4 linked regions of the Saccharomyces cerevisiae S288C genome follow. The gene in region 1 interacts genetically with each later gene. Each region holds a gene or a part of one and is shown in the gene's direction. Other genes may lie near its edges.

The links.
Region 2: mutations in AAH1 (region 1) and PDR1 together harm fitness more than expected from each alone (negative genetic interaction), as found in Saccharomyces cerevisiae (2 studies listed by BioGRID).
Region 3: mutations in AAH1 (region 1) and BZZ1 together harm fitness more than expected from each alone (negative genetic interaction), as found in Saccharomyces cerevisiae (2 studies listed by BioGRID).
Region 4: of AAH1 (region 1) and DOA4, changing one suppresses a phenotype caused by changing the other (phenotypic suppression), as found in Saccharomyces cerevisiae (2 studies listed by BioGRID, with this or other methods).

The regions. Positions count from the first base shown.
Region 1 is NC_001146.8:355,774-362,824, forward strand, and holds AAH1 (adenine deaminase), read left to right. Parts: upstream 1-3,822; coding exon 3,823-4,866; downstream 4,867-7,051. Other genes in the region: YNL143C (uncharacterized protein), read right to left, coding at 1,021-1,413; ammonium permease MEP2, read left to right, coding at 1,680-3,179; YNL140C (uncharacterized protein), read right to left, coding at 5,144-5,713; THO2 (Tho2p), read right to left, coding at 5,151-7,051. UniProt on the Saccharomyces cerevisiae protein: Catalyzes the hydrolytic deamination of adenine to hypoxanthine. Plays an important role in the purine salvage pathway and in nitrogen catabolism.
Region 2 is NC_001139.9:466,303-475,786, reverse strand, and holds PDR1 (drug-responsive transcription factor PDR1), read left to right. Parts: upstream 1-3,488; coding exon 3,489-6,695; downstream 6,696-9,484. Other genes in the region: 2-hydroxy-palmitic acid dioxygenase MPO1, read right to left, coding at 1-242; SCL1 (proteasome core particle subunit alpha 1), read left to right, coding at 540-1,298; ERG4 (delta(24(24(1)))-sterol reductase), read right to left, coding at 1,511-2,932; PUF4 (Puf4p), read right to left, coding at 6,980-9,484. UniProt on the Saccharomyces cerevisiae protein: Positive regulator of proteins involved in permeability. PDR1 and PDR3 jointly control the transcription level of both SNQ2 and PDR5.
Region 3 is NC_001140.6:334,864-340,484, forward strand, and holds BZZ1 (Bzz1p), read left to right. Parts: upstream 1-3,219; coding exon 3,220-5,121; downstream 5,122-5,621. Other genes in the region: YHR112C (putative cystathionine beta-lyase), read right to left, coding at 1-800; APE4 (aspartyl aminopeptidase), read left to right, coding at 1,474-2,946; ubiquitin-conjugating protein DMA1, read right to left, coding at 5,246-5,621. UniProt on the Saccharomyces cerevisiae protein: Plays a role in endocytosis and trafficking to the vacuole. Functions with type I myosins to restore polarity of the actin cytoskeleton after NaCl stress.
Region 4 is NC_001136.10:582,875-591,583, reverse strand, and holds DOA4 (ubiquitin-specific protease DOA4), read left to right. Parts: upstream 1-3,864; coding exon 3,865-6,645; downstream 6,646-8,709. Other genes in the region: IPT1 (inositolphosphotransferase), read left to right, coding at 240-1,823; PAA1 (polyamine acetyltransferase), read left to right, coding at 2,182-2,757; FMP16 (Fmp16p), read left to right, coding at 3,205-3,486; DOS2 (Dos2p), read right to left, coding at 6,939-7,871; OCA6 (protein-tyrosine-phosphatase), read left to right, coding at 8,119-8,709. UniProt on the Saccharomyces cerevisiae protein: Ubiquitin thioesterase that acts at the late endosome/prevacuolar compartment to recover ubiquitin from ubiquitinated membrane proteins en route to the vacuole. Also removes ubiquitin from soluble proteins targeted to proteasomes.

The DNA.
Region 1 (7,051 bases):
AAATCGATGTGTTGGTTATATTACAAGGTTGGAATAGACCACGGTGATAAGACGTGGAATTTTTGACTGACCATGCGACTCTGAAGGTGTTAACCGGAGGAATTCACGTAATTTACATCTCAAGAACAGCAGAACAAAGATCGAGTATATGATGAAATTTCGTTTTACATGAATAAAGTCATATTTTAACTCACTGTGCACGGATTAAGGGCTGTGATTTAGTGGGACGAGTGGTTCTACACTACTCAAGAAGTCACGCTGTCATTTGATGGAATTACAGTGCTTATTAGGAGCCGTGTAGCTTAGTGTGAATTGATGGAAGCTTTCGAGTTTCATAGAACATATCTGGTGAATGTATATGAGTTTTTCATTCCTTTTACGAGACGCAACTTTCCGCGGTTACGGAACTGTTGTTTTGTTTTACATCTTTTCATTTTTCATACATTTTATTGAGGCGTAGAAATGAAATGGGTAGAGCGGCACATGGATGTAACAATCTCCATTATTCACGTCGAGCCGATACCCGCTTCTGTTGACGCTCTGTTAAGCATAGAACCTACGAGATTTGTGCTAAAGGACGTTGGCAAGGAAGAAAACTATTGTTGATGACAGGATTTATAGCAGTAAATATTTTTTTCTTTTTTGCGAAATTATGTACGTTTCTCATCCAAGAAGAATCCTGTTAATATTTAAATTTCTGCTAGTCATTATCATATTGCAATGGCTTTTATTAGTGAAAGCCACTGTCAACAGTAACTGAGCTACTCCCTCCAATGTTGTCTAACTCTATGCTCTTTTTGGCGTCTGAATGAGCCATAACGAGGGAAATAACTGTATCAGGAATACTAACAGAATACAGATTGGATGCACTGGTGCTGGTGAGTTTTCTTTTTCTGATATTATTGGATAATATTTTCAGCTATAGACTATCATCATTCAGCATTGGTCACGCTAAAATATACGTTCCATGCATACGTGATAGCCTACTCGGTTGTCAACTTCATTTTATAGGCTGCCTGGTCACCGATTACCGCCCCGCTCAGCAGGACGGTTTAAGCTTCTGTTCTTGGAAACGACGTAATTCATGTCGGCCATCGAAATCATTCCTGGCTTTGTAATAGTCATAATGAACAAGGAATGCTGTCTTGGGTTTTTTTCCCTTTGCGAATACCCGGGCTGCCAAAATAGAAAAGGAACAAATGGTAGGTCTTTAAGATAAGAAAGATAAGATAAGACATCTTTTTTTTTTTTTTTTTTTTTTTTTTTTTTTTCCGATAACAAAGAAGAATCCTTCGGTCTCTTCTTACTGCTGTTACTGCTTATCAAGAGTGTCTGGTAATAGTCAAAGCCAGATAAGATAAGAAATGTAAAATCGACTATTTCCCTCGTAAAAAGCTTCAATTGCTCACGCATCGACGAATACTAAGCGGCGTGAAGACCCTGTGCCTTATCAATGAAGTATTCAGTACAAGAGGTGTTCATTCCGAGCCACTTTTCTGCACCATATATAAGCAGTAGTTACACATGTGCTAACCAAACATCAGTGGGTAGTAATCATTCGTGCTTTCACGTCCTTTCAAATTAAATATCCTTCTTAAATAATAAGTCTGCACAGAGCTTTGAAAGAAGTTTAGTTTTGTAATATATCATACTTAATATATTACAATACAATATCAACAATGTCTTACAATTTTACAGGTACGCCTACAGGCGAAGGAACGGGTGGTAACTCGTTGACAACAGATTTGAATACACAATTTGACTTGGCCAACATGGGATGGATCGGTGTGGCTTCAGCAGGTGTGTGGATTATGGTCCCAGGTATCGGTTTATTATATTCTGGTTTATCCAGGAAAAAGCATGCTTTATCCTTGCTTTGGGCCTCGATGATGGCTTCCGCCGTGTGTATTTTCCAATGGTTTTTCTGGGGATACTCATTAGCTTTCTCACACAACACTAGAGGTAACGGTTTTATTGGTACCTTGGAATTCTTTGGGTTTCGTAACGTTTTAGGAGCCCCATCTAGTGTCAGTTCTCTTCCCGATATACTGTTTGCCGTTTACCAAGGTATGTTTGCCGCAGTCACCGGTGCCCTAATGCTAGGTGGTGCCTGCGAGAGGGCAAGGTTGTTTCCTATGATGGTGTTCTTGTTTTTATGGATGACTATTGTTTATTGTCCTATTGCATGCTGGGTCTGGAATGCCGAGGGTTGGTTGGTCAAATTGGGTAGCTTGGACTATGCAGGTGGTTTATGTGTCCATTTAACATCTGGACATGGTGGTCTAGTTTACGCTTTGATACTGGGTAAGCGTAATGACCCTGTTACACGTAAAGGGATGCCCAAGTACAAACCACATTCCGTCACCTCGGTGGTTTTAGGCACAGTGTTCTTATGGTTTGGTTGGATGTTCTTTAACGGAGGCTCTGCAGGTAATGCAACTATACGAGCATGGTACTCTATTATGTCCACAAACTTAGCTGCTGCTTGCGGTGGCTTGACATGGATGGTTATCGATTATTTCAGATGCGGAAGAAAGTGGACTACAGTTGGTTTGTGTTCAGGTATCATCGCTGGCCTAGTGGGTATCACCCCAGCCGCCGGGTTCGTGCCAATCTGGTCAGCCGTTGTCATTGGTGTGGTTACTGGTGCAGGATGTAACCTTGCTGTTGACTTAAAGAGTCTATTGCGCATCGATGATGGTCTAGATTGTTACTCTATCCATGGTGTGGGTGGTTGTATTGGTTCTGTATTAACTGGTATCTTTGCTGCAGACTATGTAAATGCCACTGCAGGCTCTTACATTAGTCCAATTGATGGTGGCTGGATCAATCATCACTATAAACAAGTTGGTTATCAATTAGCAGGTATATGCGCTGCACTAGCCTGGACTGTTACTGTCACATCTATCTTGCTTCTAACTATGAATGCCATTCCATTTTTAAAACTAAGATTAAGTGCTGATGAGGAAGAATTAGGTACCGACGCTGCTCAAATTGGTGAATTTACATACGAGGAATCCACTGCTTACATCCCAGAACCAATCAGATCTAAAACATCGGCACAAATGCCACCTCCTCATGAAAACATTGATGATAAGATTGTGGGTAACACAGACGCAGAAAAGAATTCTACGCCTTCCGACGCTTCTTCTACTAAGAACACTGACCATATAGTATAATGATATACTCAAGCAGACTATGATTTTATGTTTAATCTTTATGTAACGCTTCATTTAATAATTTTATTTTTAATATTTGATATATTTTCTTTTTTTGATAACTCCGAATGATGAGGGGAGACGTTAGTATTACTTCTCTTGTCTTATGTTATTATCATAATCGATGACTTTAACTGTGCACACTATAATATACAGCATCTCCAGAGCATGATAGCAAGAAATTTTCTTTAAGAAAGCCTCTATATACCCTATATATGCTGTTAACAGGAAAAGAGCACAAGGTTTATTTTGCTTTGGTTGCAAATTTTCATCGCTTATAGAAGACATATTTTGATGTAAAAACCTTGATATACTTCCTTTTTGCCTTATCTTTCACTGTTTCCATCTCTTTTCTTTTTTTTTTTTTTTTTTTTTTTTTTTTTTTTTTTTTTTTTTGAATCTTAAAATTCTCGAAACTGCACTGAAATGGCGCAGGAAACTGACCTCATCGCATGCCAACGAAGATTGAAAAAAATTAACATATAAGGCTTATGAAAGCGACATCTTTTGCAAATGAATAATTGACAAGCAGGCCTGTGTATTTATAGTTATTTTGAAATAATAACTACCATTAGAACTAACAAAAGAAAAGAAAAAAAAAATAATGGTTTCTGTGGAGTTTTTACAGGAGTTACCAAAATGTGAGCATCACTTGCATTTGGAAGGTACTCTAGAACCTGACCTATTGTTCCCATTAGCTAAAAGAAACGATATAATTCTACCTGAAGGTTTTCCTAAATCGGTCGAGGAATTAAACGAAAAGTATAAGAAGTTTCGTGATCTGCAGGATTTCTTAGATTACTATTATATTGGTACTAATGTCTTGATTAGTGAACAAGATTTCTTTGATTTGGCGTGGGCCTATTTTAAAAAAGTTCACAAACAAGGCTTGGTCCATGCTGAAGTGTTTTACGACCCTCAGTCACATACATCTAGGGGCATCTCCATAGAAACAGTCACTAAAGGTTTCCAAAGAGCTTGTGACAAAGCCTTCTCTGAATTTGGTATTACATCCAAGCTAATTATGTGTCTGTTAAGACACATTGAACCAGAGGAATGTTTGAAAACTATCGAAGAAGCTACCCCATTTATTAAAGATGGTACTATCTCTGCCTTAGGATTAGATTCTGCTGAGAAACCATTTCCCCCACATTTATTTGTTGAATGTTACGGAAAGGCCGCCTCATTGAATAAAGATTTAAAACTAACTGCACACGCAGGTGAAGAAGGCCCCGCTCAATTCGTCTCGGATGCTTTAGACTTGTTGCAAGTAACAAGAATCGATCACGGTATCAACAGTCAATACGACGAGGAGTTATTGGATAGGTTGTCGCGCGACCAGACCATGCTAACTATTTGTCCTCTCTCCAACGTGAAGCTACAAGTAGTCCAATCCGTTTCAGAGTTACCACTACAAAAGTTTCTTGACAGAGATGTTCCATTTTCTTTAAATTCTGATGACCCCGCCTATTTTGGTGGTTATATCTTAGATGTCTACACTCAAGTTTCGAAAGATTTCCCACACTGGGACCATGAAACATGGGGTCGTATCGCTAAGAACGCCATTAAAGGTTCATGGTGTGACGATAAAAGAAAGAACGGTTTGTTAAGTAGAGTGGACGAAGTAGTCACTAAATATTCGCATTAGTACCATTTGCAAGACATTGTATAATATTTTTGTTGAAAGTCTTTTTCGATTCATAAGCGCTTTTTTGTAAATTTATAACACTATGTGTATGCACAAATTTCATTCGATGTTTTTGATGCTTTTTACATCCCCTTTTGTGTGGGAAAGGATACAATAGAATTCTACAAACTTATTTGAGTGATTATACGAGCATTAGCTGGACCTTTTGTATTTCACGAGATTACAATTCGGGAACTATCAAAGTACACGTTAAAATTCAGCTCGGGTATGTTAAGTACTAGTAATTACCTCTGGTACCTACTGACGTAATTCCCACCCTTGGGACCTTGCGGAAGCGCCTGAGTATTGCTCTTTCTATTTCCGTTGTACCTTTGATTTTCATTGGCTCTATGGGCAGCACCGCTATCTCGTGTATTTCTATAATCTTGCGTTTGAAATTTGTTTCTAATTGTTTCATCCTTCTTGAATCTTTTATTCGGCTTTTCTTCATTTTCTGAAGGCGAGTCGCGCTTGTAAGATGAAGCTTGGTAAGGGTTGGCTTTGCTGCTGTCTTTGCCCTCTTGAAATGGCTTTTCAGGAAACCGTAATTGTGAACGTTGTGAACTGTTTTTCTTATACTCTTCACGTAAGCGGTTATCCCTTTGATCAAAACCATCGCCCCTGTCCGGACCTGTGGGTCTAAGTGCCCTACTTCTATCATTATATGTTTTACTTTTACTAGGTCTAGTTGGTAGTTCTGACCTTTTATGTGCATAACTACTGATTGGCTTAATATTTTTGGGTGCAGAACGATCATTGCTTGGTCCTCTATAGTTGGAACTACCATAACCATCTTTGCCTCCAGCATTTCCGCTGTACCTACTTGATCTTTTGGTATATTCAGGAGCAGCAGCTTCAGAATATGAGCTAGTCGTATCTGGGTATGGCTCGCGCGAGATATTTTTAATATACCTTTTAAGCGAATCAATTTTTTCTGCAAAATCTGGATTTTGAGGATTTTGAATGAGTGTCCTAAAGTACCTTTCGAATATTTCCAAAGTCGAATTTCTAAAGTCGAATATTGGCATATTTTGCTTAGATAATTTCCTTAAATTCCGAGTTTCATCGTCGTTCTCTACTAAGGAAATTGCCTTTTGTAAATGGTTCGTGGCCAAATAATGGTTTATATCGTCGACGTGCCTGGTGACTTTGGAATATGACCATTGACTACTAGAAGGTTTTGTTGGGATTACAGGCTCATTACGAGAATAAGTATATCTATCCTTGCTATTTAATCCAGCACTGCCGCTTGCAACACTTTTGGGTGGATCATTTTGAAGTCTTTGCGACTTATTAAGCTCTAACTGCTTTCTTAAAGCTACTTGCTTTTGTTCATTTTGGCAAGCTGTTTCATAATTTTTGATCTCTTCTAATTCCATTTCACGTATTCTCTTTTGTTCAGCTTCCTCTTCAGTTAAGGTGCAGAATTCGTCCAATTCTAAAGCGTCCTTCAAACGCGCTTTCAAATGGCCAATCAATGCGCTGCTTGGTAGTTTAATATCCTCCCTTTCTTCATTTATCAAGTTTTCCTCTAAAGTTGTGTAAACCAACTGGATATGAGCTTTCACTACAGGGAAGACACTAGTGACGTGCTTCATGAATTCAATACCGTTTCTAATTGACATGTAATTTTTTTCGGATAAAAGGTCAATGACTTGCTCGGTAATTACTGAATGCCATTCATAAAGCTTTCGAGAAGCTTGGTCGTTGAAATCGCCATTTAATCTCATTTTTTCAAGCTTTTTAAGAACGTCAGTGAAAAACAGACCTAAATTGCCTGCTTCAGAGCTAGTACAACAGAACAGCAACGTTTTTAAAATATTTGATGTAATACAAGTATTCAATATCGACATCAAATTTTCTGTCCTAAAAGCCATAAAGATAAAAAACGAAGAGAAGAGAGCATCTGAAGGAGAAAATAAAACCCTTGGCACAACACAATTCTGCAAGAATATCTTAATTTGATCTTCCCCGCAGTCTTTGTTCCAGACATTTGATTTTTCAGATATAAATTCTGAAGTTTTCTTGAAGGCTCTTTGATGCGAAATTCCAGTAACCAAAATATCCTTGATTTGATTCTGAATCAGGTGTTTTTTTCTATTTGACATGTGGCCCGTGTTTTCTCCGGATAGTGCATTCTTACGCT
Region 2 (9,484 bases), on another chromosome or scaffold:
AAGAGAACTCCTGCTAATAGCCCTGTGGGTAAATACAGAAGACAATAAAATATGGAAAATAAAACGCTTAGCACAGCAGTCAATGAAATACTCTGATATATTTTGACTCTGTGGAGCATACAGCTACCACTAAATAGGATTGTGGGGACAAATATGGAATGGATCAAAACGTTCTTAGGATTGTGGTGGTAAAACTTGTAAAATCCAAGCTGAGATCTTAAATCCAGCAAACCTTCGCCCATATTTATTCTTTTATAACAGAAGAAGAGACTATATTCTCAAAACCTCGTATATTTATATACATATCCTCCAAACAAACTCCCAAGTTTCACTTTCCTGGATTTACCTTGGCATTCCTTTTCCCCATCCTCTTATAATGGTAATCGCGATCCTTAATTATGATATCACAATAGACGAAGGGCACACACCAATTTGCCACCGTAAGGATAGAGTAAGTTAAATGGCTAACTCATTATAATCTTCATGCTAAATCATATAAGGGCAGAGACGAAGCAAAGCGAAAAAAACATATTACAATCATGTCGGGTGCTGCTGCTGCATCTGCTGCTGGTTATGACAGGCACATCACTATCTTTTCCCCCGAGGGTCGTTTATATCAAGTAGAATATGCCTTTAAAGCGACTAATCAAACTAACATAAACTCACTAGCGGTCAGAGGTAAAGATTGTACAGTGGTGATAAGTCAGAAAAAGGTCCCTGATAAACTGTTGGATCCAACTACTGTTTCGTATATTTTTTGTATTTCAAGAACAATTGGTATGGTAGTGAACGGACCAATACCGGATGCAAGAAATGCGGCCCTAAGAGCCAAGGCTGAGGCTGCAGAATTCCGTTATAAATATGGTTATGATATGCCATGCGATGTATTGGCTAAGAGAATGGCTAACCTTTCCCAAATCTATACTCAAAGAGCATATATGAGACCATTAGGTGTTATACTCACATTTGTTTCGGTAGATGAAGAATTGGGTCCCTCCATTTACAAAACTGACCCTGCAGGTTATTACGTTGGCTACAAAGCTACTGCGACAGGACCAAAACAACAGGAGATCACAACAAACTTAGAAAACCATTTCAAAAAGAGTAAAATCGACCATATTAATGAAGAATCATGGGAGAAGGTGGTAGAATTTGCTATTACTCATATGATTGACGCACTGGGTACCGAATTTTCAAAGAATGACTTGGAAGTCGGTGTCGCTACAAAGGACAAATTCTTTACCTTGAGTGCTGAGAACATCGAAGAAAGGCTAGTAGCAATTGCTGAACAAGATTAACATACTTCCTGCCACAACATAATGTGAAATCACACGCGTCAACACTCAATATATGTATGGACACGTTTCATTTAGGATTTATTTTATAGGAAAAAGTAGATCAAGTAATAGAAAATCGAATCTTTTCAAGCCCTTTTGTCGCGTAAATACATCAATACTTTTATATACAAACTGTAAAATAAGTTAATGAAGTGGATAGAAAAAGAAAATAACTAGAAAACATAAGGAATAAAGACGTAAGGGCAATGTTTACAATACTCATCCCAATCTTTTCCGTACTTTCTCTTACATTTTGCTTGGTCTCTGAAGGCTCTGTGAATCAGGACAACAAGGAAGAATACTGGGAAAAACCATGGGAACACCGAGTTGAACCCGCAAGACAAGGCCCAAACGAGAGATTGAGTCCAATCGGCAGTGTAGTGAATTTTTCTAGCCAAAGTGTACCAACCATCAATCAATAGGTACGATCCATTGGAGGTAACCATATACTTTGGATTCTTCAAAATTTGGTATGGCAAAAATGGGAAAGTCTTCCTACCTGTCTTGTCACCAGACATTTGCTTTCTGAAGGCATTTTTCTGAGCATTTGCCGTGTCAAAGAAGTAGTAGGCGCATAATAGAACAACGTACAGCGAAACATTGTACAGTGTAGACCAGTGATATTCAGATGGGTCATGGTAGTACAAATACAACGTACAATGACAGTAAGTGTATGGGACACCGGCAATATTCCAGAAGATCAGCATAAATCCAAACTTTTCGTAAGCCATGTCCCAGGTTGGAACAATCAATTCTTCACCTTTAGCACATGCGTTCGCGTACAACCAATGAGCTAACATGACAACCCCCAATTGTGGTGTCACATAGCCGTAAGTCTCCCACTGCTTCAAACAGGCACCCAAAGTGATAAAGTAAAGGGTGAACCAAGGTAATCTAACCTCGAAAAACATCTTCAAGTCCAAAATCCCCCACCTAGGGTTTAGTGGAGCTCCCATGAAGAAATCATATAGATGGTTTCCTGTCATTCTATGATAGTCATGTGAGATAAATAAAGTCCATAAGTACAATATGATGGAGAAGGCAAACCCTGAAATAATGGCACATGTCATGATCCTCCCAAAACGGTCAATAATGACATACAATCTAAAAAGATTGGTAAAGTGCAAAACCAAGACCAAAGTGGTAGTTACATACAAGGTCCACATGGCATTACAAAAGTAAGGCAATTGTTTTCCCTTCAAATGAGACAATGGTTGACCTTTTGTCCAAATCCCGGGCAACGTATAGTAGAAAATGATCTGAAACACCCAAAATGTTAAGAAAATAGTCCAGTCATACTTTTCTGGGATACCGTTCTCCAAGACTAACTGGTATAGGTGCTTGATAAAGTGCATCCACGATTCACCAGCCTTGGGTAGGGCAACCTTACCGTGATAAAATTCCGCACAAATCCACATATAGTACATTAGCAGTGGAAACCCGATCAGCATACCAATAACACCAGTAGTCCCACCAAACTCATATTCGATTTCATTTGGCTTCAGCCATTTACCCTGAGGCAGGAAATTAACCGGTTGCTTGGACTTTTTCTCCTCTCCCTGCACCTGCAGCTTCTCACTATTATCCTTTGCCATAGCGATGCTAATCTATGTACACTACGTAAATATCCGTATCTGCCTATCTACATAACTGAACTACATTCCTACGTTATTACCACTGTTTGGTAATTTTTCCTCGAGGATATATAATTCTGCTTTTCCATAGTAACGCCAAACGATCGCGTAATACCGGCAATTACGGGATGCACGAAAATAGCGCCAAGGAACGAAAAAGAAATGAGTCTCGTTTAGTTATTAAACGAGAAGAAACGAGCCCTGATTTACATTCTCAGGGTCCAATAGGGCTTTGTTGGAAACAGACGCATACCCTAAATGGAGTTTCTTTTCTTGTTCAAGACCTAATGAGTGGCAATAAGAGGCGCTAATTAAAGCTCTTCAAAACAACCTTATTCGCCTATTACACATGATCAGCCACTCTTTCATTGTCAACAATAGCATGATAGCAGGACCATAGCGGCCATATAGACATTACCAGGAGTGAGTTTTGGCTAAAAAAAGACAATTTGCACATCACTTGCTAACTATTCATCTCAGCCAAGAATATACAGAAAAGAATCCAAGAAACTGGAAGATGCGAGGCTTGACACCTAAGAACGGTGTACATATTGAGACGGGTCCGGATACAGAATCGTCCGCGGACTCCAGCAACTTTTCTACAGGTTTCAGCGGCAAGATTCGTAAGCCAAGGTCGAAAGTAAGTAAAGCGTGCGATAACTGTAGAAAAAGAAAGATAAAATGTAATGGGAAGTTTCCCTGCGCAAGCTGTGAGATATATTCATGTGAGTGCACGTTCAGCACTAGACAAGGTGGCGCTCGAATAAAAAACCTTCACAAGACGAGTTTGGAAGGTACAACCGTACAAGTCAAAGAGGAAACAGATTCCAGTTCGACTTCTTTTTCTAATCCTCAGCGATGTACAGACGGGCCATGCGCAGTGGAACAACCAACGAAATTTTTTGAGAATTTCAAGCTAGGTGGTCGTAGTAGTGGTGATAATAGCGGAAGTGATGGGAAGAATGACGACGATGTGAATAGAAACGGTTTTTATGAAGACGATAGCGAATCACAGGCAACTTTGACATCTCTACAAACCACTCTGAAAAATTTGAAGGAGATGGCTCATTTAGGTACACATGTAACCTCAGCCATCGAGAGCATTGAACTTCAGATAAGTGACTTGCTTAAGCGATGGGAACCCAAAGTGAGGACCAAAGAATTAGCAACAACGAAATTTTACCCTAATAAATCAATAGAAACTCAATTGATGAAAAACAAATACTGTGATGTGGTACATTTGACAAGATATGCCGCTTGGTCAAACAATAAGAAGGACCAAGATACTTCTAGTCAACCTTTGATCGACGAAATCTTTGGTTTGTACTCTCCTTTCCAATTTTTGTCACTTCAAGGTATTGGTAAATGTTTCCAAAATTATAGATCCAAATCCAAATGCGAGATTTTTCCCAGGACCGCCAAGGAAACCATATACATCATGTTAAGGTTTTTCGACGTTTGTTTTCATCACATCAACCAAGGCTGTGTCTCCATAGCTAATCCCCTGGAAAACTACCTACAGAAAATGAATCTTTTACCTTCAACCCCATCTTCGATATCATCTGCAGGGAGCCCGAATACAGCACACACAAAATCGCATGTTGCGTTAGTGATAAATCACTTACCGCAGCCCTTTGTGAGAAATATAACCGGAATAAGTAATTCTGAGCTACTAAGCGAAATGAATAATGATATCAGCATGTTTGGCATTTTATTGAAGATGTTGGATATGCATAAAAATTCCTACCAGAACTTCCTAATGGAAATCACATCTAACCCCTCCGTGGCTAAAAACACGCAGTCAATTGATGTCTTGCAGGAATTCATCCATTATTGTCAAGCTGGAGAGGCGCTAATCGCCTTATGTTACAGCTATTATAATTCTACATTATACAACTACGTGGACTTCACATGCGACATAACGCATTTAGAGCAACTTCTATACTTTTTGGATCTGCTATTTTGGCTATCGGAAATATACGGTTTTGAAAAAGTCTTGAACGTAGCAGTTCATTTTGTTTCAAGAGTTGGTTTATCAAGGTGGGAATTTTACGTGGGTCTTGATGAAAACTTTGCTGAAAGAAGAAGAAATCTCTGGTGGAAAGCTTTCTATTTCGAGAAAACTTTAGCCTCTAAACTTGGCTATCCTTCGAACATTGATGACTCCAAAATCAATTGTTTATTACCTAAGAATTTTCGAGATGTTGGGTTCTTGGATAATAGAGATTTTATCGAGAACGTCCACTTAGTTCGCAGGAGCGAAGCTTTTGACAACATGTGCATATCCGACTTAAAATACTATGGCGAATTAGCTGTCTTACAAATAGTCAGCCATTTCTCATCATCTGTTTTATTCAATGAAAAATTCACGTCAATTAGGAATACATCAAAACCATCTGTTGTTAGAGAGAAACTACTCTTCGAGGTACTCGAGATTTTTAACGAAACAGAAATGAAATATGATGCTATCAAAGAGCAAACTGGAAAATTGTTCGATATTGCATTCTCTAAAGATAGTACTGAACTCAAAGTTTCAAGAGAGGATAAGATTATGGCTTCAAAATTTGTTCTATTTTACGAGCACCATTTCTGCAGAATGGTTAACGAATCTGATAATATTGTCGCCAGATTATGCGTGCACAGAAGGCCCTCAATACTAATTGAAAACTTGAAAATATACCTTCACAAGATTTACAAATCATGGACCGATATGAACAAAATCTTATTAGACTTTGACAACGATTATTCCGTATACCGTTCGTTCGCCCATTATTCTATCAGTTGCATTATTTTGGTATCACAAGCATTCTCAGTGGCCGAATTCATTAAAGTAAATGACGTTGTGAATATGATTAGAGTCTTCAAAAGATTTTTGGATATAAAAATTTTTTCCGAAAATGAGACCAATGAGCATGTCTTCAACAGCCAAAGCTTTAAAGACTATACAAGAGCTTTTTCTTTCCTGACAATCGTCACTCGTATCATGCTTTTGGCATACGGAGAGTCCTCTAGCACCAACCTCGATGTTATCTCCAAATATATTGATGAGAATGCGCCAGATTTAAAAGGTATAATAGAACTTGTCTTGGATACAAACTCTTGCGCTTATCGATTTTTATTAGAACCTGTTCAGAAGTCAGGATTCCATTTAACGGTCTCACAAATGTTGAAAAATAGAAAGTTTCAGGAACCACTAATGTCAAATGAAGATAATAAGCAGATGAAGCATAATTCGGGAAAAAATTTGAATCCGGATCTCCCAAGTCTTAAGACGGGCACTTCATGCTTACTAAATGGCATTGAATCGCCTCAATTGCCATTCAATGGTCGCTCAGCACCTTCCCCAGTGAGAAACAACTCACTACCGGAGTTTGCACAATTGCCTTCATTTAGGTCATTATCCGTGTCTGATATGATCAATCCCGATTACGCGCAACCAACAAATGGGCAAAATAATACGCAAGTCCAATCTAATAAACCAATCAATGCTCAGCAGCAAATACCCACTTCAGTACAAGTACCATTTATGAACACAAATGAAATCAATAACAACAACAACAACAACAACAACAATAAAAACAATATTAACAATATTAACAACAACAACAGTAACAATTTTTCTGCAACTAGTTTTAATTTGGGGACACTAGATGAATTTGTTAATAACGGTGATCTTGAGGACCTCTACAGTATCCTGTGGAGCGACGTTTATCCAGATAGTTAAACGTATACGTTTGTATAGATAAAAGTTCTCAAAAACTTCCTTCCTTTTTTTTTTCTTTTGAGTTTACTTATTTAAATAAGAACATTCTGTTTTCTAGGGCATCTCCTTCTCTTATTTCTTCAACACTATTTACCAGTATACCATAAAGTGAAAATTCCTATTTTTTTTGCTTTGGATATTCATTTGATCCTCAACGAAAAAAAAAATGATGTATTTTAGTATTGTACAAAAGATATTATATGAGGCTAACGTAAAAAAAGCTAAACTGAGGATATATGTATCAACTATGAATCTAAATGTAACATTCCGATGATTCTTTTACCATGAGGTGTATTTCTTATGGGGCCCACCAGTAAAGGCGCCACAATCTCTGATAGTCTTTTATAGAGATAGTCATTTTGCTTATGAGAAATGTCTAATGCTGTCTGTAAAACGTAATTTCCGTAGCTATCATTCAACAATGATTGAATACCCGTCTCGCCACCATTATTTAAAATTTCCAGAATCATTGGCTCCGAAACAATAGCTGTCTTCAAGATTTTTTCAATCACATTTGATCCAAATTTATGGATAGAAAGTTCGATGGCTCTTGGTTTCAACAGGTGGACAATTTTATGCGTATAATCATATTTGTTCTTCTCAGCCTCTTTGGTAATTATATATTGCACCACATAGTTGCCAAATGGATCCAAAGTTAATTTATCAACAAGGGCTAGCAACTTATCACACAGATTGTCACATTGTTCTGTAGTCCCATGATCTAGACAACGTTGCAAAACGCAACACCCGTGTCTATGAGTAGCAATATCAATACAGCTATCAGAGATTGCGTCAAAGATAAACTGGAAGTTTTCAGGCTTCAACCTTTGCAAACATTTTTGAATAACATGATTACCATTTAAATCCTTACTCAACTGGACAGTATAAGGGCGTAAAGAATCAACAACAATCTGTGCTTCTTCATCTGTTTTGATGCATTCAATGAGTTTTTGTAATGCCCTAGTACCATGAGGGTTTAAGGAAATTTCGACAAAATGAGGGGAAGATATTTTTGTGAGTACGATTCTTTGTTCTGTGGTAACCTCTTCCAATAGCTTCTGGATCAAATAATTACCGAATGAATCAGTCATCAATTCAACCGTATAATCCTTAGTTTCTTCAAAAATTGCGTCCGCCGCCTTACTGCCGAGAATATCCAACTGCTTTTGCAGAAAACGACAACCATGTTGGTCTTTACACAATGAGTGAATACTTCCGATATATTGGTCTAAAACTGCGTCCGCAAATCTCGACGACTCCTCAATTTTACGTTGTTTTTCCGCGCTGTTGCTGTTGGTAGCATTACTGTTATTATTATTATTGTTATTATTATTATTATTATTATTGTTATTATAGTAGCCATGATAACTGTTTTTCATATTTTTCATTTTACCAACGTTAGAACGACCTGTGTCTTTATTGTTGTAATTAGAATTACCAATGTTGTCATTGTCATTATGACTTGACATGCTATTGTTATTACGACCATGATGTTTATTATTGGCGCTATTCATTAACGGCATATGATTTTGAGCCAACAAATGAGGCGGAACCATTGCGTTGAAGGGAGGTGGAGTGCTATAAAGCCAGGGAGGAGGGGGGGTGTTTTGCTGGGGAGGTAATATGTGGAAAGGTTGCATTGATGGCCCAAGATTAGGATTTATTAAATCCATCCTAACATTTGGACCCGCCTTGTCGTTATCGGTGGTGGGCTTACCACCATCATTCTTCATATCTGAAAAGGCAACAGAATTTGAACTAGGGTTTAAAACTGGTGCAAGATGAATTGGCGATTGGGTTAGAGGAATTGGAGAATTTGCATTTAGTGAATGACTCGTAGGATTTAAAATCGGAGAGAAAGGTTGAAATTGCGCGCCCATTTCATAAGAATTAGGAAAAGGTGATCTAATACCATAGATAGGGGAGGATATATTATGTGGGTGGCCTGGCATAATAGGATTTGGTTGAAGTAAAGGTCCCCCATATGGATATGCTGCACCATAAGTTGTAGGACTCTCTTTTTTAGCTGGTGCAGTTTTATTAATCAAATCCTCCTTCGAGGTTTCTATTTTGAAATCGGATAATTTCTCAGAAACACTATTGGTTGGGGGTATAAATGACGTTGAGGAGGGAGTATTATCAAAAGATATGGATTGAGTTCTGGTTTTTGCAGTATTGTTAGCTCCTACAGACGGTTTCTTAGCCTTAGAAAAATTCTGCATGTCAGATTGGAAGTCCTTTGACAAGGTTACATTGTTGGCCGCATTGATAAGGTCAGTTGGTGATAAAGCATGAAAAGTTTGTCTTCTGAACGAACTAGCCTTATTATTAGACTCCCTGCCCTTAGATGGTAGGCTTTCTTGTAGAGTAGCGGTGGTTTCTTCAATGGCTACAGATGCTGATCCTGGTACGTTTGAATGAGTCCATAACGGATCAGCCGATGCGATTGGCAATACCTTCATTGAATTGTCATTTATCAATGGGTTTAGATTTTGTCCACCTTGAGTTGCTACCGCAGCACCCGAAGACAGCATTTGAAATGGAAGTGAGTCATTCTTGAATAACATTGGTGGACCGCCTGCATTCAAGGGCGAGCTACTCAATGGTGCTGTTGGATCATTAAAATCAGGGGGCGGAAAAAATGGACAAGGATTATGAGGAACCTGCATCATTTGAGAGTAGGGCATGAAGCCCATTCCACCCATCATTTGTGGATGTGGAAACATTTGCGACGGAGGGCCATTAGCGAA
Region 3 (5,621 bases), on another chromosome or scaffold:
GACAAAAATCTAACTAATTTCGTAGCATTTTCTGATTGTTTGGTTATTCTCATTTCGTAGGTTCTCAGGGATCGCAACAACATGAAACTTTCCAAATTTGCCACGTTTGTACCCAAGTAGATTCTGTCGTCTTTTAGTTGTCGGGAAGTTGCTTCCTCTTTGACTACAAGGACGCCACTTAACAAGTCAGAATGACCACCAAAGTACTTAGTAGCAGAGTATAGGACAATATCGGCTCCGAAATTCCATGCGTATTGCAATGGAGGAGATGCGAATGTGGAATCCACTATAAGCAGGGCGCCTTTTGCATGAGCTCTGCGGGCCAAACTCTCGATATCAGAAGAGGTACCATATGGGTTTACAGGAGATTCCAGATGGACAATGTCACCTTCAGAAGCACATTTTTCAATATCTTCCAAGGGGTGTTGCTCAATGCCGTAATTACGGGTCAATATGTTAGCAATTGCTCGAACACCATGGTAGCTCTGTCCGATAAAGATCTTCTTAGGGTTGTAATGTACCATTGCCGCATAGAACGCAGCTAACCCTGAAGAATAAATGACAGCATAACCATCGAGGATCTCTGAGAAGATACTCTCTAATCTGGTGCTATTTGGATGCGCTAGCCGTGAATATACGGGCTTCTTCTCCATAAAGTCCAAGTTTTCACGCTCTGTCCATGGAATTAGGTCGTCATCGTCGTAACGGAAGGTTGTAGAGACATTAATTGGGGGCGCCACGTCAGTAACCCTGTTATCTTTATCATCGCCATGAATCAAAGCTGTTGACAAGTCCACCATCTTACGTACTCTTTTCGTGCAATCTTTCCTTTATAGCATGTACTACAACATTTGAAGAGATGGAGGGATTGCAACGATCTATTGTTGCGCAATATGCTTATATATCGCGTGTTGCATAAACCCATCAAGTGATCGCACTCTGAATTAAACACCGCAAAAAAATAGAAACCACAGTTTCACCATTTGACAAGAACTCACAAGATATCCTTGAGGTCTATCAGTAAGTGGTTAATCCCGTACCAAAGCGTATGTGAAGGACTTCAGAAACAGTTATTTCACGTACTACAATTATTACAACTGGCCCTCTTTCCCTTATATATACTGTAAATATTGCGACTGACATGGAGACCACATAATCACACGTGATAAATAGTCCCGTTCAACTTACGTATATAATGTGATTCAGTGTTCCGCCAAGGAGTAAACTCCTTTAGTTTAAGGTCTGCTTATTTTTGCAACAGAAGCCTGCCTTGGCTTTCGAGATACTAGTTTCTGGCTACGGTTTTCTATTCCTTATCATTTTAGCCTTATCATACTTGCTGAAAAGTTGCAGATATCTCCACGCTCTTAAATGAAAGAAAAAAGGGCGTTTTCCTCCTGTATGAATGAAAGAAAAAATTCATGTTATGTGAGCAAGTAGGTAAAAAGAAAGAATAAAAGGTTCAGCTTTTCTATGTTCAGGATACAACTGAGAACTATGTCCAGCAAAACATGCAAGAGTGATTACCCAAAGGAGTTTGTCAGTTTCTTAAATAGCTCACACTCTCCTTACCATACAGTTCATAACATCAAAAAGCATCTGGTGTCAAATGGCTTCAAAGAGTTGAGCGAACGTGACTCGTGGGCTGGCCACGTCGCACAAAAAGGAAAGTACTTTGTGACAAGAAATGGCTCTTCCATTATTGCGTTTGCTGTTGGTGGAAAGTGGGAGCCTGGTAATCCAATTGCCATTACGGGTGCTCACACCGACTCCCCCGCATTAAGGATTAAGCCTATTTCTAAAAGAGTCAGTGAGAAGTATTTACAAGTGGGCGTGGAAACTTATGGTGGCGCTATTTGGCATTCATGGTTTGATAAGGATTTGGGCGTTGCCGGAAGAGTTTTCGTAAAGGATGCGAAAACTGGCAAATCCATTGCTAGATTGGTGGATTTGAATAGACCTCTGTTAAAGATTCCTACTTTGGCTATTCATCTGGACAGAGACGTAAATCAAAAATTCGAGTTTAATAGAGAAACTCAACTGTTGCCGATTGGTGGTCTGCAAGAAGACAAAACTGAAGCGAAAACTGAAAAGGAAATTAATAACGGTGAGTTTACCTCCATAAAAACGATAGTACAGAGGCATCACGCAGAACTTTTGGGGCTAATAGCCAAAGAACTCGCCATTGATACAATTGAAGACATTGAAGACTTCGAATTGATCCTTTATGATCATAATGCATCCACTCTAGGTGGGTTCAACGATGAGTTTGTCTTCTCTGGTCGATTGGATAATTTGACATCTTGTTTCACATCAATGCACGGTTTAACGTTGGCGGCTGACACAGAAATTGACCGAGAATCAGGCATTAGATTGATGGCATGCTTTGATCATGAGGAGATTGGCTCATCCTCCGCCCAAGGGGCAGATTCTAACTTCTTGCCTAATATATTGGAAAGGTTGTCCATCCTGAAGGGGGACGGTTCTGATCAAACTAAACCTTTGTTTCACTCGGCAATATTGGAAACTTCCGCTAAGTCGTTTTTCCTTTCATCTGATGTTGCTCATGCAGTTCATCCAAACTATGCAAACAAATACGAAAGCCAACACAAACCCTTATTGGGTGGTGGTCCCGTAATCAAGATTAACGCGAATCAACGTTACATGACCAATTCACCAGGGTTGGTCTTGGTGAAAAGACTAGCAGAGGCTGCTAAAGTCCCTTTGCAATTGTTTGTCGTAGCTAACGACTCACCATGCGGTTCTACCATCGGCCCCATTTTGGCCTCAAAGACAGGTATTAGAACTCTAGACTTGGGTAATCCTGTGTTGAGTATGCATTCGATTAGAGAGACCGGTGGCTCTGCAGACCTGGAGTTCCAAATCAAGTTATTTAAGGAATTTTTTGAACGCTACACTTCCATAGAATCTGAAATTGTTGTCTAAACTGCAATTGTTAGATGATTCATAATCCGGTATATTTATTGCCCTCTTTTGTATTTTACAAATAGTAAATATATATAATATCTTGTGATCTACATAAGCTTTCGCGGGGTCTTCAGAAAAATAAAAAGTTTTTAAAAGAATATACGCTTAGCAAAGGAATAGACAGATTTAGTTTGTACGCAAATAGTTTTTGAAGAAGGTAGCAGATTGATCAATTTTGTATGAGCGGAAATCTATCCTTAAACGCCAACTACTACATTACTTGCAATAAAAATGAGTGCAGATTTATCGATTGGTAATGAAATTAAAGATTCATTTAAGGAAACCCATAAATGGGTCCAAAATAACTTAAAATGGTTGAAGGACATTGAGCAATTTTATCGGGAAAGGGCTAAGTTAGAAAAAGACTACAGCGAGAGATTATCTCGCTTATCAGCAGAGTACTTTAATAAGAAGTCTTCGACCTCAGTTCCTATCTCGGTAGGTGACACACCTACTACCACGCCAGGGTCCATTGAAGCTGCAGGTGTGGTTGCATGGAATGAAATTCTATCTCAGACTGATATGATTTCCAAGGATCATGATCAGTTATCAACCGACTTTGAAAATCATGTAGCAAATCAATTGAGTGGATTATTCACTAAACTTGATATGACTTTGAGCAAGATAAATGGATTTAACAATGACATGGTTAATAAAAAGGATAACATTTACCACGAACTGGAAAAAGCGAAGAAGGACTATGATGAAGCCTGTTCCACTATGGAAATGGCAAGAAATAGGTATACCAAGGCATCTAATGATAGAAATAAAAAGAAGTTGGATGAAAAAGAAATGGAGATGAACAAGTGTAAAAATGAATATTTAATCAAGATCAACCAGGCAAATAGAACTAAGGATAAATACTATTTTCAAGATGTTCCTGAAGTGCTAGATCTTCTACAAGACGTAAATGAGGCAAAGACCCTTTTCTTAAATGATCTGTGGTTGAAGGCGGCTTCTGTCGAGAACGATCTGGGTGCAAATGTCAGCAAAAGACTCCAGGCGGCAAATTCTGTTGTCAAGCAGAATAAACCCTCTTTAAACACGGCCATCTTTATCAAGCACAATCTAAAGAATTGGAAAGAACCACAAGACTTTGTCTATAAGCCATCTCCAGTATGGCATGATGATGAAAAATTTGCTGTTCCCTCGTCGTTGGAAGTTGAAGACTTGAGAATAAAACTGGCAAAAGCAGAAAATGATTACAATTCATTGCAAGATAAAACTCAAAATGAGTTATCCAAACTGTCTACTTTGAACAAGATAAAGCACGAAATGAAAACTAATGAAGATAATATCAATGCCACTAAGTTTTATGATACACTAAAGGAATACTTAAATGTCGTTTCACCCTTTACCTCACACGAAACATTAAAATTGCAAGCCGAAGTTCAAATCGAAAGTATTCAGAATAATGTTCCTGAAGAATACGATTTATCCACAGACAATATTGATCTTTCCAAAACAAAGAAGAAATCCGGGATATTCAGTAAGTTCAAACACAACATCCTGAACGTCGACTCGAAGCCTTCGAGTGGAGGGAGCACTGGTAATGGCAACGGAGGACCCTTGCATATAACAAGTCTCTTCAACACATCAAGAAGAACTAGGCTAGGCTCTGCCCCTAACAACGCTGGTGAAGATTCAGATAATAATTCTATACGCACCACTAGTACCAACAATACAAAAAAGACCACACAAAATTCCAGTGATGACGGCAAGAATAAAGTGTTGTATGCATACGTACAAAAGGATGATGACGAAATCACCATTACGCCAGGAGACAAAATCTCTTTGGTTGCACGCGATACGGGTTCTGGATGGACTAAGATAAATAACGACACCACTGGGGAAACCGGCCTTGTACCCACCACATATATTCGCATATCTAGCGCGGCTACAGTTAAAGCAAATGATAGAGGCCCTGCACCAGAAGTACCACCACCAAGAAGGAGTACACTACCTGTTAGGACGATGGAGGCCATATATGCCTACGAAGCACAGGGAGATGATGAGATTTCAATTGATCCGGGGGACATAATTACTGTTATCAGAGGCGATGACGGTAGCGGGTGGACATATGGTGAATGTGACGGATTGAAAGGTCTATTTCCTACAAGTTACTGTAAATGAACGAAGGAATGAACTGAAACTATTAAATATTTTCCCTGGCCGCCACTTTTTTGAGAGGTATGACGACTCTATGTTATATATATATATATATATATATATATATATAGCACAAAATTTCATGTGATCAATCTACTAGGCGAACACCTAAATTGTTATTTATTTCCATGTCTATATCCATTTCAATGTCTGGCTCATCTTCGTCCTCGTTTTCGAATTCGGATTCAGATTCGGATTCCAAGGTAGTCTCCAAATCACAGTTTGTCCTACAGTTCGGACACATGAATTGAGGATAATTCATAATAACCAATCTTCTTACACAATGAAAATGCCAACTATGGGCACATGGTGATATAAAAATGGCTTGGCAAGGTTTTATTTTGTTTAGACAAATGGAACAGTCTTCTTGTTCTAAACCAGTAGTTAGTTTCTGTAGATTTTTTATTCGGCTCAAGGCTTCTTTATTAAATGCATTGGCCTTTAATTTCCAAGACTTGTTCAAT
Region 4 (8,709 bases), on another chromosome or scaffold:
GAAATGCAGACCTCCGGCCACAACATTTTTATATAATACATTCGAGCATCAAAAACCAGGAACAATAGAAGAGTAATCGCTACTTGTCAAATAAAAATAAAAAAAGGAAACCTAAGGCATAGTGTTTTCATAAGCATCGCTACTTTTTCATTGCCACCCTAACTGTTCCTTTATTTCACCGGTTGGACGTTATCATTTCTGCTAAGAATCACCTAAAGTCTTTCAACGTCTAAGAAAGCATGAATGTCATATTTTCTTTGGCGAGTTTCGTCAAAAACATGTATAATGCAAGTTTGAACCAACGTAATCTAATAAGCCTGCCGTTCAACTTCATGCTTAATTTTGCGCCAGTGTTTATTTGGCTGTCTATATTCAAGCGCGCTGGTCTGATACCCATAAGGCTCAGACCTGACATTCATAGCAAGTTTGCTTTTTTTGCTGATCAATTCCTCTTTGGGGACTATTGGCATGAACTTACTGTACAATTGCCCGATAATACTTCGAAGCTATTTTTCTGGTCATTCATATCATCTTCTGCATTTCTCTTAGTATTTCTGATATGTATTCCCTTTGCCATTTGGTACTACATCTATTACATTAAGCACGTTAACTATAATCTGTTAGAGTGGTTCGCAAATATTTTTCATTACCCCTGCAAGCGCAAGCAGCGGCCGATCCAAAAGAGATTTCGGACAATTTTCATACCGTTTGCCTTGCCCCTGTTTACATTTGTTATACTCAACATTGATCATTTCTTTGCTTACCAGTCGGATGCAAACTTTACTAAGACCAAGGATTTACTGGCTTGGTTCTCCTATGTCATCCTGCACTTGACAGCTCCAATTTTAACAGCTGTATACTTATACGTCTTCCAACCACCGGGGACTTTAAAATGCTTTAGTTTTGCCCTAGGATTACAAAATATAGCGGGGGTCCTTACCCATCTGCTTGTTCCAATGGCCTCCCCATGGTTTACTCATCTGTACGGTATTGATGACACCGAACATGTTAATTACACCCAGGAAGGGTTTGCTGCCGGTTTGATAAGAGTAGATAGCCATTTGGGTACTCATTTGAACACTAAAGGATTTCACATGTCTCCTATTGTGTTTGGTGCTGTTCCTTCACTACACTCCGCCATTGCATTTCAATGTTTCTTGTTTTTGGTTTCAAGGTCCACCAGCTTAAAACACAGATTTTCCAATGCTGGAGGTTTCACAATGCACAATAATGATTCTTCCACTTTCAAGTTGAGTGAGGAAGACAGCGAAGATGAAGGTGACAATAGCATACCGCCCACGATTGGCCCTAACGACTTAGAGATGGAACCATTGGGTACCGTTGAGCCTGTAGATATTTCAAATGAGCGGTCCTCCTCCCCTTCATCTTCATTCACCGTATCCAGTAATGAAAGAAGCACCGGCGGCGGCGACGGCAGCATTATTAACAGCAATGGCAATAAGAAACCTCTCCAGTTTGTCCATTTATATGATGAAGACACGAACTTCACAAACAAATGGATTTTTAAAATAGTCAACGATGGGTTTATACCAAAATTCTGGGCTATCCTATATATAATACTACAATGGTGGGCTACCATGTATCTGGACCACCATTATAGATTTGACCTTTTCGTTGGTGTTTTATATGCAATGACAAGTTTCATCATCATAAACTGGTTTGTTTTACAACCAAAAGTTTTAAAAAAGTGGATTCATATAAGGTTAGGCGACAAAGTGGATACAAGAAACGAAGCTCGCACTTTTGGCATGAGAGTATTTTGTGGCACCAAGATGGAATGGTTTTTTGATCCGCTTGCATAGACTATAGAATGTCATAATGTAATAAAAGTAATTTCGGATAATTTAAATAATATAGATTGGCTTTTTTTTTAATAATATATTATTAGTGTTATGCATGCTTTTTTTTTTTATTTTAATAAAGGGTTAACCTGAAATCGGCTTGCTTTTGGTTTTCTGTCAATTCATAAAAAGAATAGTTTTGAACGGGCAAAAATGGAAAAGCAATGGAAGAACGACGAACATCCCACTGGACAAGAAGCGGGAGCAAGTGTTTGTAAGAAAAATTTACAACAAACTAGATTAAGAAGAATTGGACATCAGAATACTTTTCTCGGAGAAAAAATAACACCAATACATTACGATTAAATAAAAAGTTAAAATGGCCTCCTCAAGTAGCACGCTACCGCTTCATATGTATATTAGACCCTTAATCATTGAAGATTTAAAGCAGATTTTGAACTTGGAAAGCCAAGGTTTCCCACCAAACGAAAGAGCTTCAGAAGAAATTATCAGCTTTCGTTTGATCAATTGTCCAGAGCTATGTTCAGGTCTTTTCATCAGAGAGATCGAGGGCAAAGAAGTTAAAAAGGAGACACTAATTGGTCATATTATGGGTACTAAGATACCTCATGAATACATTACTATCGAAAGCATGGGCAAATTACAAGTGGAATCGAGTAATCATATTGGTATTCACTCTGTAGTAATCAAGCCAGAATACCAGAAAAAAAACCTGGCTACTTTACTTTTAACTGACTACATTCAGAAATTGAGTAATCAGGAAATTGGTAACAAAATTGTCCTTATTGCTCACGAGCCATTGATACCATTTTATGAAAGAGTTGGTTTCAAGATCATTGCTGAGAACACCAATGTTGCTAAGGACAAAAACTTCGCAGAACAGAAATGGATCGATATGGAGAGAGAACTAATTAAGGAAGAATACGACAACTAGATCATTAGTTTAACGCACTTTACAAATGTCTAATTATAAATACTACATATAATTTTTGTATATTTTAAAATTGCCAAGTATAATTAAAATCATTACTACTGGTGCTACCCTACATCCTTGACCGTACTGAGATATCACTGCTTAATTCCGGTGATTGGGTTCTTTTCAGTTCTTGGAGAGATATACGTACTACCTTCCTTTTTTTTTAAGGATACCTTTACTGTAAAGGGTTTGTTCCTGTATCAACCCCTTCTTCCTGTACAGAATCTAAGGGAACCGTAAAAGCACATAAGTATATAAAGGTCCCAAGATTTGATTAGGTAGATATGGCCTTTGAGTTGGCTCTTAGTTTTTTTTGGCCTTGAATACTTGTTCCTACAATACTCCAACAGCAGTTGAAGCCAGACCGCAGTATCACATATATAATACACAGGAATATATTTGATAATGTTGAGAACCACTTTTTTGCGCACTCCAAGACAATTGATGCGTAAATCGCCAAGGGCGTCTTTCTCAATCGTCACTAGGGCCGCCTTTCCTCACCTAAAGAACAATCAAGATGAAGCTGAGAAAAAAGAACAGGGTTTGTTTGATAGCAACAAGAAGAGGTTGGACACTTTGGAACACGGCAAGAATCCAGATTATAAGCAACCTGGAATGGAAGATTTGAAAAAAAAGGGAGATGACGCTAGAATCGAACAAAACAGGCCAGATGACGGTGTTTATTAAGAAGCACTTGGTACAAACTCGTATATGCATGTAGTTTCTGTCATACACATATCTATATTCCTTCCCCCCTGGTCCTATCGTATTTAGTCATATCATATCATTTATTGATATCTATATAAGTGCAAAACTATAACCATTATTTATTTGCTTTCCACATTGTTTTACTTCATTTGCTTCAATATCGTTCATTACGTTTAGCGAATGGCTAAGGCCCTTGTATTAGTAAAAGCCTAGAAAAAAAAAAAAAAAAAAAAAAAAGGATATGATGTTATATGATACGTGTAGTTCATGTATTTATCTTCGGTAGTATAGGGCAGATTTAAGACTGAGTGTGCACGCTTCCAAAGTTTTTTTTACTATTTGATACATGCTTAAGTTATGGAGCAGAATATTATTAGTACCATAAGGGATGAGTGTATTCGTCACCGGTCGAAGTACCTTACGATAGCACAACTAACCGCTATTGCAGAGGCTAAAATTAACGAATTCATCATAACTGGTAAGGCAAAAGATCAAGATTTGAGCAGTCTTCTAGATAAATGCATCGATATTTTATCTATTTACAAGAAGAACTCGAAAGATATCAAAAATATTATATCGTGCAAAAATAAGGGTGCAATGATTAGTTCAAATTCCGTAATGATTATTCAATTAAATTATGTTTACTACAAGGTAATTCACATTATTGTAACAACCAATATTCCTCATTTAAGTGAATTCGCCAAGATTAAATTACATAAGAGCACGAGTGATGAGGGCAACGGTAATAACAACAATAATGAATTTCAACTCATGAACATTTACAACACTTTGCTGGAAACCTTATTAAAAGATGAAAACATTGCAAAAATAAAAAGTTTCATTAAGTCTTCCATAAAACAAACAAAATTGAACCATGAGCAAGAAGAATGTAACCTGATGAGAACGGGTTCCTATATCACTTCCAATCAATTAAACTCCCTAATAAGTTCATCAGCAAATTCTGCTTCCTCCCAAATGGAGATACTACTGATAGATATACGATCAAGGTTGGAATTCAACAAGTCACATATTGATACAAAAAATATTATATGCCTGGAGCCTATTTCTTTTAAAATGTCATATTCAGATCATGATTTGGAGAAAAAATCATTAATTACTTCTCCTAATAGTGAGATTAAAATGTTTCAAAGTAGAAATCTTTTCAAGTTTATCATTCTCTATACAGACGCAAACGAATACAATGTTAAACAGCAGTCTGTCCTGTTGGACATTCTGGTGAATCATTCCTTTGAAAAACCAATATCCGATGACTTTACCAAAATTTTCATTCTGGAATCTGGTTTTCCAGGTTGGCTTAAGTCAAATTATGGGAGGCAAGTATCATCATCTTTTCCATCAAATAACAATATTAAAGATGATAGTGTTTATATTAATGGTAACACTTCTGGCCTAAGTTTACAACATTTACCTAAGATGTCTCCCAGTATAAGACATTCAATGGACGACTCTATGAAAGAAATGCTAGTTGCGCCTACTCCATTAAATCATCTTCAACAACAGCAACAACAGCAATCAGACAATGATCATGTGCTAAAAAGATCTTCAAGTTTCAAAAAATTATTCTCAAATTATACGTCTCCTAATCCGAAGAATTCAAATTCAAACTTATATTCTATATCTTCGTTGTCCATATCTAGTTCACCATCGCCTTTACCTCTACATTCGCCTGACCCAGTTAAGGGCAATTCATTGCCAATCAATTATCCGGAAACGCCACATCTTTGGAAAAACAGTGAGACAGATTTTATGACAAATCAAAGAGAACAGTTGAATCACAACTCTTTTGCTCACATAGCTCCTATCAACACGAAGGCCATCACTTCTCCATCAAGAACTGCCACACCGAAGTTACAACGCTTCCCGCAAACAATTAGTATGAACCTTAATATGAACTCCAATGGACACAGTTCTGCCACCTCTACCATTCAACCTTCGTGTCTATCCTTGTCTAATAATGACTCTTTAGATCATACAGATGTTACACCAACTTCTTCTCATAATTATGACCTTGATTTCGCGGTTGGTTTGGAAAATCTAGGAAATTCGTGTTACATGAACTGTATCATTCAGTGTATCTTAGGTACACACGAATTAACCCAAATCTTTTTGGACGATTCATATGCTAAACACATCAATATTAATAGTAAGTTGGGATCGAAAGGTATTCTGGCAAAATATTTTGCAAGGTTGGTTCATATGATGTATAAGGAACAGGTTGATGGTTCAAAGAAAATTTCCATATCACCGATAAAATTTAAATTGGCATGTGGATCTGTTAACTCATTATTTAAGACTGCATCCCAACAGGACTGCCAAGAGTTTTGCCAATTCCTTCTAGATGGTCTTCATGAAGACTTGAACCAATGCGGTTCAAACCCACCTTTGAAGGAGCTTTCTCAAGAAGCTGAGGCGAGAAGAGAAAAACTGTCTTTGCGAATTGCCTCGTCAATTGAGTGGGAACGATTCTTGACTACTGATTTCAGTGTTATTGTCGACTTATTTCAGGGACAATACGCCTCACGACTAAAATGTAAAGTCTGTAGTCATACCTCGACAACATACCAACCTTTTACGGTGCTGTCAATCCCTATTCCTAAAAAAAATTCCCGAAATAATATTACCATTGAAGATTGTTTCAGAGAGTTCACCAAATGTGAGAACTTGGAAGTGGATGAGCAATGGTTGTGCCCACATTGTGAAAAAAGGCAGCCCTCCACGAAACAATTGACAATAACGAGATTACCGAGGAATCTGATAGTCCATTTAAAGAGATTTGATAATTTATTAAACAAAAATAATGACTTCGTCATATACCCTTTTTTGTTGGACTTGACTCCATTTTGGGCCAATGATTTTGACGGGGTTTTTCCTCCAGGTGTTAATGACGATGAACTACCAATAAGGGGACAAATACCACCTTTTAAGTATGAATTATATGGTGTAGCATGCCACTTTGGTACTTTGTATGGTGGTCATTATACAGCCTATGTGAAAAAGGGATTAAAGAAGGGATGGCTATATTTTGATGATACCAAATATAAACCTGTCAAAAACAAAGCCGATGCAATTAACTCTAATGCATACGTTTTGTTTTATCACCGCGTCTACGGTGTTTGATTCATTTGAATAAATAACTGAAAACCGTTGTCTATACACTTTTTTTCCCGTTCAACATGGCATATCATTATTTCCATCTAAGGTCAAAGTAAAAAACCCTAAATACAAATGATTTATTTTAACGGTAACAAACGAACTTTTTTTTAGAAGGTGTAAAGATGAGATCACGCCCAGATTTTGTCTTCCTCCTGTGCATCTCTTGGATTGATGATTTTCCTTTCTACCATAATACGTCATGAAAAGTATGTAAATATTTATAGCATTACATATATCTTTTATATGAAAAAAATCACTCATTCCCAGTCATCATCGTCGTCGTCGTCCTTGCTCTCATCCTTGTTGGCGAGGCCAACATGGTCACTAACATCTTTCAATCCCTCTTGAGACACAGCAACTTTCGTCTCCCCTTTAGATTTGTTGTCAGCTACTGCTTCTACTTTGTCATCATCTTCTTCTTCTTCTTCGTCATCCCACTCAACTTCTTTTTCCTCCGTTTCCTTTTCCTTTTTGGACAATATTTCTTTCCTTTTACTTTCTTTATCTAGAATTTTGTTTCTTTGTAAGAAATAGATGTGCCAGAAATCTTTATAGCTGATTTTATGGGGTACGATGTCGTTCATTAATTTGGAGATATCTTTGTCGCCCTGTAAAATAGAACATATCTCCTCAGTTTTTTCATCCACGTCAAACGGGTCCAGTTGCAAATCCATTTTATTGTCTAAATAAACCGATTTATCTTTAGATAATGTCCTTAGTTCGGCTTCTGTTCTATTTCCACCCACAGCAATTTCATTTTCTTTCGAATTCTCATCCTTGTCATTAGAGTCATTTTCTGCAGCATTATCGAAGCTACTGAAGCCAGACCAAAAATTCTTAGTTTTCATTTTGCTCCAATATGACTGGGCTAGACTTTCCACGCTGTGAATATTCTCGTCTAGTTTCTTCAAATACTTTTGTGCAGTCTCTGTAGTTTCATTGCTAATTGGCAAGTTAATTTCAATTCCGTCATCTTTCTCGATTACTAACTTTTTGAATGCACTTGTAGTCTTTTCATATCGTTTATTGACTTCCTCTTCTAACTTTTGGAAGGCCTCATTTGTTTTGTCATCTCGGCTCTGAAGTTCGTTATTTTCAGTGTTTTCTGTTGATCCAGTTTCCTTGGTATGAGAGTTGCTTATTTTATCATCTTCGATACAAGCTACTTGTTCTTCATAAAAGAATTCCATTTTATCCTAAAACGTCGAAGCAATGGAGCTCACTAGCTGTACCCTTATGTTGTGTTCTTTTTTTGTTGCATGACTTCTGCTAAGTGCTTTTTATCATTAATCACCGCTATTTGATGTAAGGCCAAAAAAAATGCGAAAGAAAAAAAGAGACTCTGTTAAGAAGGAAAGGAGTACCAATATAAACTATGGGTTCACAATTGCTATGAATACCCAGTTCACACATCTAGAATAAGCTATATGTATCAAAATGACACTAGTGACTCCGTTACAATTTTCGACTGTACAGCCAAATTTATATAGAGGATCTTACCCACGAGAAATCAATCTCCCATTCCTGAGAACCCTTAGATTGAAATACATATTATCTTTGACACCAGAACCTTTGAGCACTGATCCTCTAATGGTAAAGTTTTGTGAAGAAAATAACATTAAGACAATTCATATAAAATGTCAAAGTGAAAGAAAGGCAGACAAGACCAAACCCAAGATTAAAAGGAAAAAGAAAACAGTTCCTATTGAATACGATGTTGTAGTACGATGCGTTAAATTTCTGATTGATAAAGGGCATTACCCCTGTTATATGCACTGTACGAATGGTGAATTGATAATATCTCTCGTAGTAGCATGTATGAGAAAGTTTTCATATTGGAGTACGGTATCCATACTAAATGAGTTTTTGGTGTATAATTCCAGCATCAATATTCATGAAAGAAATTTCATTGAAAACTTTAACTCTGAAATCGAAGTTGACGATCTGGATATAAAGGATAAAGTTCCCTGGATTACCGTGCGATATATTGCAAGGACAGCCACAGAATCAAAAGATGAGTTGCGTGTT